Saccharomyces cerevisiae S288C: one gene and its partners. Changing the gene in region 1 together with any one later gene gives a genetic interaction. Each region holds a gene or a part of one and is shown in the gene's direction. Other genes may lie near its edges.

Region 1 (5,935 bases):
GGATGGGAAAATGACACCCTCTGGCCATAATTGGGTTGCAGGACAAGGTGCTGGCCCAAGAATTGAGAAAAAAGAAGAAGAGGGTGATAAATTTGATGCTATGGGTAACAAGATTAATAGTGGGAAGAAAAAAAGCAAACTCTCTTCTGCAGAATTGAGAAAGAAAAAGAAGGAGAGAATGAAGAAGAAAAAAGAGATGGGTGATGAATACGTTTCTTCTGATGAAGATTTTTAATTTGAAGTCGAGTACATCTCTTTCAGTGAGTAACTTATATATTTTTGAAGTTAACATCCTTATTCTTTTTTTATATTTTTATTTTTTTTATGTTTATTTTCTATTACTGATTTTCACAAAGAAAGGTAAAAAAAAACATACTTCAGCGGCTATACAACCATATTTAAGTAAATGCACTCAGAGAAAGTATACAAGTAAAAAACCTAAGTAAAGACATAAATATCCCAAAATAATGCAAAAACTCCTCTTTGTCTTTTCTGTGTTATTGACAGTAGTACTAGCAACAGCACCATTTCAGGTACAATGTCCTAGCTCTCCACTTATTAGGGAGGCCAAAGTAAGTTAAACTCTTTGCCACTTTAACAAATATGGGCCAAAACTAACCGAATATACCAAAACTTCGTATTCCTTTGTTTATTAGCATGAACTCTGTCCAGAAGAAACCTTGTATCTGAAGAAAAAAAAAATTAAAACGAAGAATAAACTGATTCAGTTTTTAAAATCCTTGACAGAGGCAAAGTTTAGTTCGAAGTTTTATAAACGCGTGTTGAAAGATCCTCCAAAAATTGGGATTGCTATATCTGGCGGCGGGTACAGATCCATGTTAGTAGGTACCGGATTTATTTCCCAAATGAACGATTATGGCCTTTTTGAATATTCGGATTATATTGCTGGATTATCAGGCGGAAGTTGGATCTTGATGGATTTGGTAGTTCAAAATTTTGAAGTAAAATCCCTGCTACAAGAGTGGGACCTTGAAGAGGATCTTTTATTAGGCATACCGGAATTCGATATTTCCGAAGAAGAAATTGTTACCAATGCAAAAAAGGAGTATAATGATAATGATTTGAAGATGAAGAAGCGTCAGGGGGGTTCTCTGATTACAAGCTCTTCAAATTTTTATGAACAAATAGAGGAGATCATGAATTCCATAGAAGAAATCCCAGAAGACTATATGATAACGAAGAGAAACTTGAATCCATTAGCAAGACTAAAAAAAATATTCTTTCCTAACAACACTTTCACTGGAACTGATGCGAAGATTGAAACCTTTAAAAAAGTGCTAGACTTTTACAAAAGTTTGCATTTGAAAATTAAGCCTAAAAAAATGGAGGGTTTCCAAATATCGTTCACCGATTATTGGGGTAAAGCAATCGTTCAAAGACTAAAAAAAAATTTCGATGACGATCCCAACCATTCCTTTTCGTTTTCGAAGCTTGTAAACTCGTCTAAAAAATTTAAGGAATGCAGTGTGCCGATCCCAATATTCGTTGCAAATTGCAAAAATGGACTTCTTTCAAACGTTATATTTGAATTTACGCCCTTTGAATTTGGATCTTGGGAAAATATCCTCAGACTTTTCGTCAAGTTGCCCTATTTGGGCTCAAAAATTGTTTCTGGAAAGGCCGAGAAGTGTATTAATAACTTTGATGATCTAGGTTTTATTACTGCGACGTCTTCTTCAATATTCAACAATGTGCTCATCTTCATCTGGAATTTGGCTTCTCAGTCCTCCAGAGAAGCAATGAAAGCTTTGAATATGGTTATGGGAATTTTTGGCCTAGGTAAAGAGGAAATATTTAGTATTTCGAAAGACTCCTCGAGATTAGAGACAGACTATGCCGTATATCAACCCAATCCCTTTTATCTTTATCCTGAAAAAGACAATGTCCTAACTAACAAAAATCATTTATACCTTGTAGACGGCGGAGAAGACGGCGAGAATATTCCACTCAGAACATTGGTGATTCCTGAAAGGGAACTAGATGTAATTTTTGTTCTGGATTCTAGTTCGGATATTGACAACTATCCAAACGGCTCCAAGTTAAAAAGGATATTCGAAAAATTAGATGAAGAGAACGTTCATTACCAATTTCCGAACAATGTAAAAACATTCACTCACCCCATTGTTATAGGATGCAATGCTACCAAAAGAACTGGACATGATTCATTTTTGCCAATTATAATTTATCATGCCAATGCGAATCATGGAAACGCATCTAATACGTCGACATTCAAAATAACTTACAATCAGTCTGAAGTTAGCAGTATGTTACCCACTGGAAGGGGAGTGTTTAGCAATGATTATGACCTTTATTATAAAAATTGCTTAGGCTGTATATTAACCAAAAGAACAATGGACAGGCTCCCAAGAAAAAAGAAATTTTCGCCATTTTGCTTACAATGCTTTAAAGACTACTGTTACTCATAAGAGAGTAGACTTTTTCTGTGAAATTTAATGAGTTTTTGTTCACCTTTTTTACTTTTCTTCTATGCCATATGGTTAAATAAAACATGGTTCAAACGCGATTCTTTTTTATTATCTATGTCTTTATTATGTAGTCTTCACTATAATAACCGTTAATGAGCGACATAGTTGCATCAGTTTTTAAGGCCAATTTGATTCAGAACCTTTTCAAGTTCTTCACTTTCCATCTTATCCGAAGACGCGATCTGGTGGCATCTAATACTATGCTTCTCGAATATCGTTTCATCAATTTCAATTTCACCATTTTTTAGGTAAACAATATCAGTAATAAAATCTTGCCATTCAAAGTCATCATTCTCTGAATGGACACCCTTAGATTGCCTATAGCCTGCTATTGCCCTACTCATAGAATCTATGATCATTTGAACGTAGTGTAAACCGTCTAAACCAAAAACCTCTCTATCATATTTATTATTTATGAGCAAAACTTTTTTCGTATTATTAGATTCCAAAATTACTTCAGCAAGATTACCAAGAATAAGGATTGGGAGTAAACTTGTCATTAAAGAACCGATAGAATAAACGACCATGTCAGCTTTTTTCACCTTGGAAATAGCTCTTGGATTTCCCATTGGTTTTATCTCTTCGCCATATGGGTTTATATACAATATCCTATGTACCGGAGCAGGTAGATTCTGTGATTCATCAAGCTTGTCAAAATGCAACTGGGAGTTTTTCAGTTCTGGAAGAATATAGATAGGATTGGCATACTCCTCTTCCGCTTCTTCTTCCTCATCGTCGAGGAGAATTTTCAAATGGTCGTCATAAGAGCCAAGTAAATGAATAAATTTAGCTGAATGTGCTATGCTATTATCTTTAGGAACAGATTTCGAGGGATGCGATATTTGTGATTGGCCAGTTATCATCTCACCATTCGTCAACAAAGCCGAGATATGATGTGTGTGATTGGTATTTATACATGGAATAACATGAACTAGAGGACTGCACCTTCCTATCCTCATCATTAGTTCAATAGATGCGTCTAGAGAACCTAAAAACAATCTAGCACCAGTTAAGAAAAAATTTCCAATGGATGCACTCTCAAACTGAAATGGATTCGAGTGTTTGATTTTTTTCAAGAGTTCTGCTTGCATATGGATAATAAAAGAACGACACATTTCCTTAACTTCTATCGAAATATTTTTCCATATGGGATGCGAACCTTCCACTATTTCATTCCATTCTTTCTTAGCTAATAACTTATCATTAGGTAGCCTATGGCCAAACAACTCGACAAGCTGTTCATCTTGAAGTAGTCTCACTATTCTAGATCTGATATCACCAATTGCTGGGCCACCAACTATTCGTAGAATTTCACTTGTGGACCCGCCATTATCTGATATTGGCAATATATACGTCAGCTCATGTCCTTTTAAGATAGAAATATTAGAAAAGCAAGGAGTCAATGAATTTGTGGCAGTCCCACCGGAGCACACAACGACGTTCATCTAGTAAACTATCTCACCACACTCTGCTATTTTGTCCCCTTATTACCTCGAGGGAACAAAAGATTCCGTTTCCTCTCTTTCATAGTCCGCCTAAATAGCTTAAGAAATAAACCCAAACATCACACATTAGCGTTCTTTAGGAAATACGAAACAGGTTAATACAACAGTAGTAACTTTCCACATAATATCTAAGCATTACACGCTGAAAAAAACTCTTTATTGGATATCAACAACCCAACACATTGTACGACATATTCTTTTATCGTTCTACTATGGTACCCTGTTCAAATCTCTTTTTCTAAAATGAGCGAAATTTTCGAAAATTATCGCATAATTTTTCATCATCTTAAATTAAAAAAATACAGTGTCCTCTATTGTTTATCTCAACAGAACGCACACATTCTTGAAACTTGCTCACATAACATAAGCTGGAGTGACATAGCATTTATATATATACAAGGGAAATGGTCAAAGCTGTTATTTTTACCGATTTCGACGGTACCGTTACTTTGGAAGATTCTAACGATTATCTGACCGATACTTTAGGTTTCGGTAAGGAAAAAAGATTAAAGGTCTTCGAAGGCGTGTTAGATGATACTAAGTCTTTTAGGCAAGGTTTCATGGAAATGCTGGAATCCATCCACACCCCTTTCCCTGAGTGTATCAAGATCTTAGAAAAGAAAATTCGATTGGATCCTGGTTTCAAGGATACATTCGAATGGGCTCAAGAAAATGATGTCCCTGTCATCGTTGTTTCCAGCGGAATGAAACCAATTATCAAGGTTTTATTGACCAGATTAGTTGGACAAGAGTCTATTCACAAAATTGACATTGTTTCCAATGAAGTGGAAATCGATGCACATGATCAATGGAAAATCATCTATAAGGATGAAAGTCCCTTCGGACATGACAAATCCAGAAGTATCGATGCTTATAAAAAGAAATTTGAATCTACCTTGAAAGCAGGTGAACAAAGACCCGTTTACTTTTACTGTGGTGACGGTGTTTCTGATCTAAGTGCTGCAAAAGAATGTGATTTGCTATTTGCCAAAAGAGGTAAAGATTTGGTCACTTATTGTAAAAAACAAAACGTCCCATTCCATGAATTCGATACCTTCAAAGACATCTTGGCTAGCATGAAACAAGTTCTGGCTGGTGAAAAGACAGTCGCTGAATTGATGGAAAATTAGTGCAAGACTCTTACGAAATATTAAAGTTTAATACCGTGTAACTGCCTCTTACATATGTATGCATATATACGTACGTACTATATTTTTCTTGTATATCTTTTTTATTGTCTGAGAGAAAGAACATCAAAAAATAAAGGAAGATCCTCCTCGGATTTAGCATGCTTAATGCCGAATCTTTAATACAAAACGAATGATATTTCAAGTATACTAATTAGAAATCAATCAAACATACCAAAAGGGACAGTAAAGAGAAAAGCAGGAGCTCTCTTTTAGGGGAAAAGTAAAATGTGATTAGTATTTCGTTGCGTGTACTAGTCAACTCTTCTTGTCATTCTTAAATTTACATTAATTACCCCAATTTTGCATCTTCGTATATAAGAGTGTTCCCCTTATAAGCTTTCTCCTGCACATACCTGCAGTAAACACAAGCAACACTTTAGAGATAGTTGTCCAAGTTAAAATGAGTAAAATTAAAGTTGTTCATCCCATCGTGGAAATGGACGGTGATGAGCAGACAAGAGTTATTTGGAAACTTATCAAAGAAAAATTGATATTGCCATATTTAGATGTGGATTTAAAATACTATGACCTTTCAATCCAAGAGCGTGATAGGACTAATGATCAAGTAACAAAGGATTCTTCTTATGCTACCCTAAAATATGGGGTTGCTGTCAAATGTGCCACTATAACACCCGATGAGGCAAGAATGAAAGAATTTAACCTTAAAGAAATGTGGAAATCTCCAAATGGAACAATCAGAAACATCCTAGGTGGAACTGTATTTAGAGAACCC
Region 2 (5,207 bases), on another chromosome or scaffold:
AGCAAGAAAATTTGGAAGCTGAAGTTTTGCTGGTTGCTGTTGGTAGAAGACCTTACATTGCTGGCTTAGGGGCTGAAAAGATTGGATTAGAAGTAGACAAAAGGGGACGCCTAGTCATTGATGACCAATTTAATTCCAAGTTCCCACACATTAAAGTGGTAGGAGATGTTACATTTGGTCCAATGCTGGCTCACAAAGCCGAAGAGGAAGGTATTGCAGCTGTCGAAATGTTGAAAACTGGTCACGGTCATGTCAACTATAACAACATTCCTTCGGTCATGTATTCTCACCCAGAAGTAGCATGGGTTGGTAAAACCGAAGAGCAATTGAAAGAAGCCGGCATTGACTATAAAATTGGTAAGTTCCCCTTTGCGGCCAATTCAAGAGCCAAGACCAACCAAGACACTGAAGGTTTCGTGAAGATTTTGATCGATTCCAAGACCGAGCGTATTTTGGGGGCTCACATTATCGGTCCAAATGCCGGTGAAATGATTGCTGAAGCTGGCTTAGCCTTAGAATATGGCGCTTCCGCAGAAGATGTTGCTAGGGTCTGCCATGCTCATCCTACTTTGTCCGAAGCATTTAAGGAAGCTAACATGGCTGCCTATGATAAAGCTATTCATTGTTGAAAACAGGAAATAATAAACAGTATAGTATATATATTTATGAAGAACCGCTTAGTATTGAGTAAGTAAAAAAAAATTGCACAAGGAATTAATATATGAGGAAACTACTAGTCGATCAGATAAGATATTATGACCAGATATGCAAAAAAAAGGGGGCGAGCTGGGAATTGAACCCAGGGCCTCTCGCATGCTTTGTCTTCCTGTTTATTCAGGAAGTCGCCCAAAGCGAGAATCATACCACTAGACCACACGCCCGAATTATTGTTGCGTTAATAAGAAAAACAGAAATATTTATATAGGAGAGTGATTAAAGGGAATCTTCTATCAACAATATCCATTCAAATTCAGGCGCATAACGTGAGTGAATATAGAATTGAGCCTCCTATTAGTCTTCCCGATTTCATTCGAGAAACATATCAGGATTAACCTGTACATTATGGTGTCTGTATTACTATTTTACATGTTCACGTTTATTTCTTGCTCATATATTCATATGGATGACCACTACGTTTGCTACCATTAAGTCTAATTATTTCAGCAACCAATATTCCATGTAAGTGTATAGCTAGTGGATATTAGACAACGGCTGCCACATGGTTAAGTCTTTTGCTCACCAGGACTACCGGTAAGAATCTGTTCCTTGTAACTCATTGCAAGGAGATTTTAGTTGCTCCCAATTATATTTTTTGAAGCACTAGCAGGGCAATGATTTTTCTTCTCGTAAGTACATGAATTATGAAATACTTTTTGGGATTTCGTTGTTGTCAAAGGCTATAAAATTTAGTATACAAAGTATACCAGAAAGTTTCCTCGAGGATATAGAAATTCACAAAAGGAAATCGATATTTCTATGTAATAATATAATTAAATTTCCTTCCATCTCATATCCTGTCATTAATTATTCCATTACAACATCATTCCCCTGAATTTCAGCTTCCACTACACCTGAGACTATCTCTCAAACGTTACGCCATATTCTCACACCCATATTATAATATAGTAGTAATATGAATACTAATCGGTAGATGATAGTTGAACTTTATTCAAATATCATCGAAGTAAGAAGATATACTACTAAAGACTCCCTTTGCTCTATATTCGAGTCAGGCTCCACCAGTCATTTCGAAATTAACCAGTTACAGGTCAAAAGACTAAACTTACTGCAAAACCAATTTGCTTCTGTTTTCACTTCTTTCCACCCCAAAGATAATACAAAGGGCATACATATCAATTTTTTTTCACCTGTCACTAGGATAACTGACCTTCAATATTCCTTTTTTTATACGAATCAGATACTGTTCGGTACACGATATCTAATTAAAATGATTCAAAACTTTGTAACAGGTAAAGTTTTCACTAGAACCAATCAATCCAAGTGAATTAGGGGAAACCATAGTTGTTGATTTGTAGAAACCTCACATTGTACATTGTTGGTTTGTTGGGCATATCAGAACGAGAGATTTTCCAACATTCAATATACACTAAACCCTATGACGAGTCCCACAGATGGCGTAAGGTTTTTATGATTTCAGCAGGGTACGACGACTAGTACCATATTAACATTTTTTAGTGTTTCTAATTTGGGAAAAGGTCCGTGTTTTTTCTCCTAGCAACCGTTTAGTGCCAAGGGTTAGGCAATTGAACGAGGCCAAGACAATATTGGCTTTGCTTCTATTACTTGGCTAACATTGTGTCTGCAGGTCGAAAGGCACCTTTACTGTAAGGAACATTCTTGCGCTCTAAACATACGAAGATATGGGGAATATGAAGCGTGTTTCTTATACGAAGTGCAGCATCGTTCAAGGAAAATACACCCCCATAGTAATAATGGCTAAGTGGCCAGGAATTAGAATATGTGAGATATGAGTGCAAAATGAGTGACCAGTAATAGCCTGTTTGGGATGTAATTGCTCAAAAAATTTATATAAATACAGCGGTTTGATCAGCTTTGTTTGAGACATTTCTCTGTTCTTTTCCTTCCAGTTAAGCTTATATCTCCACTAAGCAACAACCCAAAAAACAACAAATACAATGGTCAAATTAACTTCAATCGCCGCTGGTGTCGCCGCCATTGCCGCTGGTGCCTCCGCTGCAGCAACCACTACACTATCTCAATCTGACGAAAGAGTTAATTTGGTTGAATTAGGTGTCTATGTTTCCGATATCAGAGCTCATTTGGCTGAATACTACTCCTTCCAAGCTGCCCACCCAACTGAAACTTATCCAGTTGAAATTGCAGAAGCTGTTTTCAACTACGGTGATTTCACCACCATGTTGACTGGTATTCCCGCCGACCAAGTTACCAGAGTTATCACTGGTGTTCCATGGTACTCTAGCAGATTAAAGCCAGCTATCTCTAGCGCTCTATCCGCAGACGGTATCTACACTATTGCAAATTAGAGATAGATTCCCTTAGGGATAAAATGTGATACGAATTAGAGAATAACGAAAAATATACAATTTTTTTTTTTTTTTTTGATATAGAAATAGTTAAAATACATTCAAATGTATACCGATATTATAAGCTTTCTCGATTAGTTTCGGTGCTTTTTTGAAGCCGTAAGTAATATGCAAATTTGTTATGACTTCTTTTCTATTCTTGCAGCAAATGTTGGGATTTAACTTCCAACTGGTGCCGTGCCATTTTTATTATTAACTTTAATAATGTTCTATTGTATTGGGACGGAAAAAGCTTATTTCTTAAATTGGAGCAAGAATCTCGGAGTTCGGTGCCTATCCGAAGGTTCGCCCTGACGAAATACACTAGGCAGGAAAGTTTTCTCACAACAAGAATTAGAAACGATATTAAGCCTGGTTCAGTTTACACATCAGACATACTCGATGAGTTAATACAAAAAAAAAAATTGCAGGTGCTTTATAAAGTAAAATAACATCGTGGAATGCAAGTTATTTTTTAGTCATCCACAATTGCTGCAGTGGTATTATGAGGCAGGATTTTTTTGACACCACAATTATGGTATTTTCGTGAGCAAACCCAACTTTTGGTATATGTCTAGATGCAGAGAGTGCCGTAATCCTTTTTCTCGTCTCCTTTTTCTTAGCACACTACTTTTTGATGTGGAAATATAAGTTATGCAAGAGAAAAAACAGAAGGGCTTTACAAAATTATCCTCCTTCCGATTCTGAAGGTGGGCTCTCTAAAGTATCTAAAATCGTAGGGGAGTACTGCTACTACCATCACTGACATTTGGGGCTTATTCTTTTCTGAAAATTCAAGATTTTTCAGACACGACCAAACAATTAGTACGCACCGACTACTGCAGTTATTTATCTGTCAAGCCACAGAAGTTTCTTCCTTCCTTTTGTGTGGATATTGCGGTACACAGCGGGAAACTCCTTAGTGTTCATAAAGAAATACGATCATATGTAGTATACAACCTGTAATTACTTCTTGTGGAGAGAGATAGTTTTTTTACTTTATTTTGTGACCGGCTGTGATTTCAAACAGTAAGCCAACTTCCAGAGAAATGCCTTGTTATTAAGGAAATACCCATCCGTTGGAGCGCACCGTCGGAAAAGTAGCAAATTGCATCAACATGATGCAAAAAGTCGAAATAACAAGGTCCCGCTTTTACACATCACAAAATGATGCCATTCAGATCCAGATCTTTCTGCCTGATGAAAGAAAATCCTTGCCATTGTCTTGTTTTGACGAGGTATTCCCAGAACACATCATTGTTCGTACTCGCGGCTTCCATTTTATTATTTTTGAAAAATGCTGCCAAATAAAGAAGCAAAAAAAAAAGGATGTTCAGGTCTCGGTTGCTCTTACTGAGCTTCTAGTGACGTCATATAAGACTCAAATAAAGTAATTGCCTAGGATAACTGGTTTAGTTCTCTTTTAAATTTGGGAGGGCCATTCCTGTGTGTGAGCCCTGCGCCTTTCAACTATTCTGTCACCGCCGCAATAGATGTTGGGTCACATGGAAGCATAACGCACACTGAGCTTTTGATAAATGTTGCACTTTTTTTGTTATTTTTTTTTTTTTTTTATGAAATAAATATAGTGTTCTTCTTTTTATTCTATGTATACATAGAGTTTGATTAGTATGTGTATATATATATGAAGCGGACATGGAAAGAAGCGAGTACTTTTTTTTTTTTGGGGGATCTATAAATTCAGATTCAACCAATCCAGGCTCAGATTGCCATTTGGAGTGGTGTTCATGTTTGAGTTTGGATTTGTGTCTCCAGAATGATGATCTATTGCGGAGTCCAAAGGCTTCCAGAAGGCTTCATTGTTGAAGGAGGAGGTTGAGGCGTTGTGAAGGTTCATGTTCATAGTCATATTCATATCAGGCCGAAAGCTGGAGAACGTTTCCGCCTCGATGGGTACGGAACTCGAAAGGTGGTGGCGAGTGTTAGAGCGGAGGTATTGTGGGATGGAAGGTGAGGCAATCTTCGGAATGGGTATGTCCTGAGACTTCAAAGGTGCGACAATGTTCAGTGAGTTCTTCCTCTTGGACGCTGCCACACTTGCTGTATAGTTTTTCTTTTTCCCTGCTGCTCCCGGATTGAGAGACGACGATGGAGGGGGCGTTATATTGTTGTTTATCTTGG
Region 3 (7,652 bases), on another chromosome or scaffold:
CTCTGGGACGAAGGAATATTGCAAAATGATTGATTTTCTGTGAAATCTTCAATAAAAAAACCTTTCTCTTCTGTTTGACATATATAATTTAAATGGATCGTTCAGAGTATGATCGTACCATTGCATAGCTGTAACAATATTCACATTCATAAAGCACATAAGTACTAATAGCATTCTTACGCACTAAAATGAATCACGCGGTCTTCTATGTTCAACCGATAGCAAAGGCTTAGGTTCGAACGCGAGACAATTTTCTATTCGAGATGTTAGTTATCTATATCATACAGGAAGATAAAGATACACTGCTGTACGCTGGGTATCTTCAAATGTACAAGTCACGATACTTCACTCGATGATAAAAAAAAAACGAAATAAATCTCTTTGTAAAACGGTTCATCCTTATGCAGGGGAACTGCTGATCATCTCTGTATTGTTTCAAATTGACCAAATGTCCACGAAGGGTTACTTCGCGAACACATAGTTGCGAAAAAAACATTTATTTATAGTAGCCGAAAATAGTGGACGAAATACTTTTACCACTGTTCATGCCAGGCTGTGTTGAAACTGTTGCAATGAAACTCTAAAGTATCATCGATTCAGTAGTATTCATGCTACTGGTATAGTATCACATGAGGTCCAGGAAGATGACATAAAAATTGAGAAACAGTCATTAAGTCTAATGGAAGCTGAAATGCAAGGATTGATAATGTAATAGGATAATGAATTATATAAAACTAAAAGAGGAATAATCTCAATACTATTATGTAGAAATATATCGATTCCATTGTGAGCATTCCTATATCCTCGGAGAGAACATTTAGTATCTTCTATATACCTAATATTATTGCGTTTACGAACAATGGAATCCCAACAATTATCAAGTTATTCCCCCAATTCTCAGACAGTCATGGTAGCAATATAAATTCTGAAATTATATTGTGTACAAATATACGTATAGCATTTATTAGTGCTGGAGATTATAAATAACAGAACTATTATGGAGAATTATCGATCATACTTTACCGTTTAGATGTTTTATGTTGTCTTTTAATGCCGCATGCAATACTTTTTTAGATTAAACTTAAAATTAACTTGTTCTGGTAATTACTGACGGATAACAGGTACTTCTTTAAATAGGATTATGGTGCTTCAGCTATCATCAAGTTTGGTACATCCTGAACCCAATTTCACGATATTTTAATATTCAGATATTGAAAAGGTGCATTATTATTGTTCGCTTAAATACAGAAAATAGGAAAGCAATACGAAATCATTACTTTTATCATGTTGTTTCTTAACGTAATTACTTAATAAAACTCATGTGAACCGTATGAAATGTAATAACTATATATGTCTGCTCAACTTTGAATATGATCACATTATTTTTCCCACTTGTTTTGACTTGGAGAAATACCTATTTTGACTTTAACAACGTCCATCGTTGCTATTGCATCTTGAGAACTATCATGCTCGCCATTTTGGATTTTTCTACTCAAAACTTCAAACGCTAAGTTCTTCAAAGAAACCTTAAACTTTGTTCTTGAATAAAGTATTGCAGTATCTATAACCTTATTATGAAATAGCCTCATGACGTTCAGATCGTTCTCTAGTCCGTGCCCTATAAGAATACTATTTTTATTTATTAAGTTTTCGGATAAAAAAACATCAAGTGCCTCCTTGTACGTCGGGCAATTGGTTCGGTCAATCTCATGGACACCACTGAAGTCTGAATTCAGATCGACAATATCCCCTATTGGCTGAATTACATGATCAAATAGTGTCTTGCCGGTGAAAAAATCCACAATTGTTAAACGTATCATCTCATAGCCCAATGATGTAAAAGCCATTTCACAGTCAAGAGAAAGAACATTCTCAACACCATCAATGTCATCTGTACTAGAAAACTTCGAAATTTTGCATAACTCGTCATATGATTCTCCTCTAAACACATGGTGAAAAAACGTCTTGCATCCTAGCCTTAGAAAAGAAACGGAATCAGTAGTTTCACCACAGCATGGATACTGATGGTTCTTGGTATCTCTGTTGTATATTCTTTTCAAAGGGTGATACCTACATAGAGTCTTTTCCATGATGTCTGTTTTTTTGAAATTTGAGCTGCAACGCAAACAAGGTGCATACAGTTGCGTACTATTGTCATCATTAGTTTTATTTTGCATTTCCTTAACAATATACCCATTTTTCTCTAAGACCTTCGAATCCAAAATCAGAGCCTTTAAAGCTTCCATCGCTTTTGATTTTGTAGTGATAGAGTTTGCATTACCAATTGAGGATAAATGAGGCTTAGCTCCTTTAAGGGGGCGCCCATTAATTTTGATCTTCGAGAGATCTCCTTTATATTTAAGCACATCCCGCAGTAAAATGCTCATGTTAAACTTGTAACTCTGACCAGACAAGCTGTTTTTAGCAACATGGACTTCTAAGCGAGTGGCAAGTCTTTCAAGGTCAATATTAGTTCCTTTTGTGTGTGCATATGCCTTTTGTAGCTGCTTGAATAATTTCTGCAAAATTTTATATCTTTCTTGGAATCCAAGCGGTTGATTTACCAGATCAACCGGTCTCAACAAACTTCCCATACTAAAGCTTTCTCTTGATATATAGTCAAACTGAATGTATACTGAAACACATATTCAAGGCATTGATTTTAAATGCACTTGAACCGTTATTCCATTTCTTTTTCTACTCATCATTTATTGTCGCCCTTTACGAGGTATTTTTTCTTTTTCGAGTGAAAAATTTTAAAGAAGCGATGAGCTAAGGTCTATTTAGCTTTATGAAAAGAAAACATTATATCACTTACTGCTTTACTTTAGACATTCCTCTCCAAAGTGATTATTTTAAAGATTCAAAGTACCTCTGAGTTAATTTGACATCGAATTCTACTCTTATTATTTTAAGGTACCTCTACTTTACGCGGTCACATTATTTTTAAAACCGTTATAATCTGCTGAGAATGTCCCAGGATAGAATTTTGTTAGATTTAGACGTAGTTAACCAAAGGTTAATTCTCTTCAATTCTGCTTTTCCCTCTGATGCTATTGAAGCGCCCTTCCACTTTAGCAACAAGGAATCAACTTCTGAGAATTTAGACAATTTAGCAGGAACTATACTACATAGCCGTTCCATCACTGGTCATGTTTTCCTTTACAAACATATTTTTTTAGAGATAGTGGCACGTTGGATAAAGGACTCCAAAAAAAAAGATTACGTTCTTGTAATTGAAAAGTTGGCAAGTATAATTACAATATTTCCCGTTGCAATGCCATTAATTGAAGACTATTTAGATAAAGAGAATGATCATTTCATCACTATTCTTCAAAATCCATCCACACAAAAGGATTCCGACATGTTTAAAATACTATTAGCATACTATAGGTTACTATATCACAATAAAGAAGTATTTGCACGCTTCATTCAACCCGACATTTTATACCAACTTGTGGATTTACTCACCAAAGAACAAGAAAATCAGGTTGTTATATTTCTAGCATTAAAGGTTTTATCTTTATACTTAGACATGGGAGAAAAAACATTAAACGATATGCTCGACACTTATATAAAATCACGCGATTCATTGTTGGGCCATTTTGAGGGCGATTCTGGAATTGATTACAGCTTCCTCGAACTGAACGAAGCTAAGAGATGTGCAAATTTCTCTAAACTACCCAGTGTTCCAGAATGTTTCACTATAGAAAAAAAATCTAGCTACTTCATTATTGAGCCTCAGGATTTGAGTACTAAGGTCGCGTCAATCTGTGGCGTTATCGTCCCTAAGGTCCACACTATCCACGACAAAGTATTCTACCCATTAACCTTTGTCCCTACTCATAAAACGGTTTCCTCTCTTCGTCAACTCGGGAGAAAGATTCAAAATTCAACTCCAATAATGCTCATTGGAAAAGCGGGATCCGGTAAAACCTTTTTAATCAATGAGCTAAGTAAATATATGGGTTGCCATGACTCCATTGTGAAAATTCATTTAGGTGAACAAACTGATGCCAAGTTACTGATTGGTACTTATACCTCTGGTGACAAGCCAGGCACGTTTGAATGGAGAGCTGGTGTTCTCGCTACCGCGGTCAAAGAAGGGAGATGGGTACTTATAGAAGACATAGATAAAGCTCCTACAGATGTTTTATCAATACTTTTATCGCTTTTAGAAAAGCGCGAACTAACCATTCCATCCAGAGGAGAGACTGTAAAGGCTGCAAATGGTTTCCAGTTAATATCAACTGTTAGAATAAACGAAGATCATCAGAAGGATAGTTCCAATAAGATCTATAACTTGAATATGATTGGTATGAGAATCTGGAATGTTATTGAATTAGAGGAACCTAGCGAAGAGGATTTGACACACATTTTAGCCCAAAAGTTTCCCATTTTGACCAACCTTATCCCCAAACTAATCGATTCATACAAAAACGTCAAAAGTATTTATATGAACACCAAGTTCATTTCATTGAACAAGGGGGCACACACAAGAGTTGTATCTGTAAGAGATTTAATTAAGCTGTGCGAAAGGTTAGACATCCTATTCAAAAACAATGGCATCAACAAACCTGACCAACTAATCCAGTCTTCTGTCTACGACAGTATTTTCTCCGAAGCCGCCGACTGTTTCGCTGGCGCTATTGGAGAATTCAAAGCTTTGGAACCTATTATACAAGCAATCGGCGAGTCATTAGACATTGCTTCCTCAAGGATTTCGTTATTTTTGACCCAACATGTGCCCACTTTGGAAAACCTTGATGATAGCATTAAAATTGGAAGAGCCGTATTACTTAAGGAAAAGCTAAATATACAAAAAAAATCAATGAACAGCACATTGTTCGCATTTACGAATCATTCTTTAAGACTAATGGAACAGATTTCTGTTTGTATACAGATGACTGAACCTGTTTTACTAGTCGGTGAAACGGGTACCGGGAAAACTACAGTCGTTCAACAACTTGCTAAGATGTTAGCAAAAAAATTAACGGTAATCAATGTTTCACAACAAACAGAAACTGGTGATCTTCTTGGTGGGTACAAACCCGTAAATTCTAAAACAGTTGCAGTTCCTATACAAGAAAATTTTGAAACTCTTTTTAATGCTACATTTTCCTTAAAGAAGAACGAGAAGTTTCACAAGATGCTACATAGGTGCTTCAACAAGAATCAATGGAAGAACGTTGTTAAACTTTGGAACGAAGCGTACAAAATGGCTCAAAGCATATTAAAAATTACAAACACTGAAAATGAAAACGAAAATGCAAAGAAGAAGAAAAGAAGACTCAATACTCATGAAAAAAAATTGTTACTTGACAAATGGGCTGACTTCAATGACTCAGTGAAGAAGTTTGAGGCCCAGTCTAGCTCTATTGAAAACTCGTTTGTCTTCAATTTTGTCGAGGGTTCTTTGGTAAAGACTATCAGGGCTGGGGAGTGGCTATTGCTCGATGAAGTGAATTTAGCAACCGCAGATACCTTAGAAAGTATTTCTGACCTTCTCACCGAGCCTGATTCTCGTAGTATTCTTCTTTCAGAAAAGGGTGACGCTGAGCCTATAAAAGCTCACCCCGATTTTAGAATATTTGCTTGTATGAACCCCGCTACTGATGTTGGTAAAAGAGACTTACCTATGGGTATCAGATCAAGATTTACCGAAATATATGTACATTCTCCGGAACGTGATATTACTGATTTGCTTTCCATAATTGATAAATATATTGGAAAGTACAGCGTCAGCGATGAATGGGTAGGAAATGACATCGCTGAACTTTACCTTGAAGCCAAAAAACTCTCCGATAACAATACTATAGTTGATGGCTCAAACCAAAAACCACACTTTAGTATCCGTACCCTGACGCGTACATTGCTTTATGTTACTGATATTATTCATATCTACGGTCTACGCCGTTCCCTGTATGATGGATTCTGTATGAGTTTTTTGACTTTACTGGACCAAAAATCTGAGGCCATTCTGAAGCCAGTAATAGAAAAATTCACATTGGGGAGGCTAAAAAATGTCAAGTCAATCATGTCACAGACACCTCCCTCTCCAGGACCAGATTATGTTCAGTTTAAGCATTATTGGATGAAAAAGGGCCCTAATACAATTCAAGAACAAGCTCACTATATCATTACGCCTTTTGTTGAAAAGAATATGATGAATTTGGTAAGAGCTACATCAGGCAAAAGATTTCCTGTGCTTATTCAAGGTCCAACTTCATCGGGAAAAACCAGTATGATCAAATATCTTGCGGATATAACGGGCCATAAGTTTGTCCGTATAAATAACCATGAGCATACAGATTTACAGGAATATTTAGGTACATATGTTACCGATGATACCGGAAAGCTGTCGTTTAAGGAAGGTGTTTTAGTCGAGGCACTACGAAAAGGATATTGGATTGTTTTGGATGAATTAAATCTTGCCCCAACCGATGTTTTAGAAGCCTTAAATAGGTTACTTGACGATAACAGAGAACTTTTTATTCCAGAAACACAAGAAGTTGTACATCCTCATCCTGATTTCCTTCTTTTTGCTACCCAGAATCCACCTGGGATATACGGTGGCCGTAAAATTCTTTCAAGAGCTTTTAGGAATCGTTTTCTGGAGTTGCACTTCGACGATATTCCGCAAGATGAATTAGAAATTATCCTACGTGAGCGCTGCCAAATTGCCCCATCATATGCAAAGAAAATCGTTGAAGTATACCGCCAATTATCCATCGAACGTTCCGCTTCAAGGTTGTTCGAACAGAAAAATAGTTTTGCAACTCTACGTGATCTTTTCCGCTGGGCTTTAAGGGACGCAGTGGGATATGAGCAGCTTGCTGCCAGTGGCTATATGCTTCTTGCAGAAAGGTGCAGAACTCCACAAGAAAAAGTTACAGTCAAAAAGACTTTAGAAAAAGTAATGAAAGTTAAATTAGATATGGACCAATATTATGCAAGTCTGGAAGATAAATCCTTAGAAGCCATTGGCTCTGTTACTTGGACAAAAGGAATGCGCCGACTATCCGTCTTAGTTTCTAGTTGTTTAAAGAATAAGGAGCCAGTACTACTGGTAGGTGAAACTGGGTGCGGCAAAACAACAATTTGCCAATTATTGGCGCAATTCATGGGTCGAGAACTGATCACACTAAATGCCCATCAAAACACAGAAACTGGAGACATATTAGGTGCTCAAAGACCTGTTCGTAACAGGTCTGAAATTCAATATAAGCTAATAAAATCCTTAAAAACAGCATTGAATATTGCTAATGACCAAGATGTAGACTTGAAAGAGTTATTACAGCTATATTCTAAGTCAGATAATAAAAATATAGCCGAAGATGTTCAACTGGAAATACAAAAGCTGAGGGATAGTTTGAATGTTTTATTTGAATGGAGTGACGGGCCTCTGATTCAAGCTATGAGGACGGGAAATTTTTTTCTACTTGATGAAATATCGCTAGCAGATGATTCCGTTCTTGAAAGACTAAATAGTGTTTTGGAGCCAGAAAGGAGTTTGTTGTTAGCAGAACAGGGTTCATCCGATAGCCTTGTAACGGCTTCAGAAAACTTTCAATTCTTCGCAACCATGAACCCTGGTGGAGATTACGGTAAAAAAGAATTATCTCCAGCGTTAAGAAATAGATTTACTGAAA

The links. A genetic interaction does not mean that the proteins touch.
Region 2: mutations in PYP1 (region 1) and PAU5 together harm fitness more than expected from each alone (negative genetic interaction), as found in Saccharomyces cerevisiae (one large-scale study listed by BioGRID).
Region 3: mutations in PYP1 (region 1) and REA1 together harm fitness more than expected from each alone (negative genetic interaction), as found in Saccharomyces cerevisiae (one large-scale study listed by BioGRID).

The regions. Positions count from the first base shown.
Region 1 is NC_001146.8:609,219-615,153, forward strand, and holds PYP1 (putative phosphoric monoester hydrolase), read left to right. Parts: upstream 1-4,416; coding exon 4,417-5,142; downstream 5,143-5,935. Other genes in the region: HEF3 (translation elongation factor EF-3), read left to right, coding at 1-235; SPO1 (putative carboxylic ester hydrolase), read left to right, coding at 468-572, 657-2,447; YNL011C (uncharacterized protein), read right to left, coding at 2,618-3,952; isocitrate dehydrogenase (NADP(+)) IDP3, read left to right, coding at 5,603-5,935. UniProt on the Saccharomyces cerevisiae protein: Hydrolyzes sugar alcohol (polyol) phosphates. Dephosphorylates a variety of substrates, including: sn-glycerol 1-phosphate (D-glycerol 3-phosphate), D-ribitol 5-phosphate, D-sorbitol 6-phosphate (D-glucitol 6-phosphate), and D-erythrose 4-phosphate.
Region 2 is NC_001138.5:97,050-102,256, reverse strand, and holds PAU5 (seripauperin PAU5), read left to right. Parts: upstream 1-2,657; coding exon 2,658-3,026; downstream 3,027-5,207. Other genes in the region: LPD1 (dihydrolipoyl dehydrogenase), read left to right, coding at 1-629; YFL019C (uncharacterized protein), read left to right, coding at 1,652-2,005; GAT1 (Gat1p), read right to left, coding at 4,759-5,207.
Region 3 is NC_001144.5:359,058-366,709, reverse strand, and holds the start of REA1 (AAA family ATPase midasin), read left to right. Parts: upstream 1-2,971; coding exon 2,972-7,652. Other genes in the region: YLR108C (uncharacterized protein), read left to right, coding at 1-43; REX3 (RNA exonuclease), read right to left, coding at 1,380-2,594. UniProt on the Saccharomyces cerevisiae protein: Nuclear chaperone required for maturation and nuclear export of pre-60S ribosome subunits.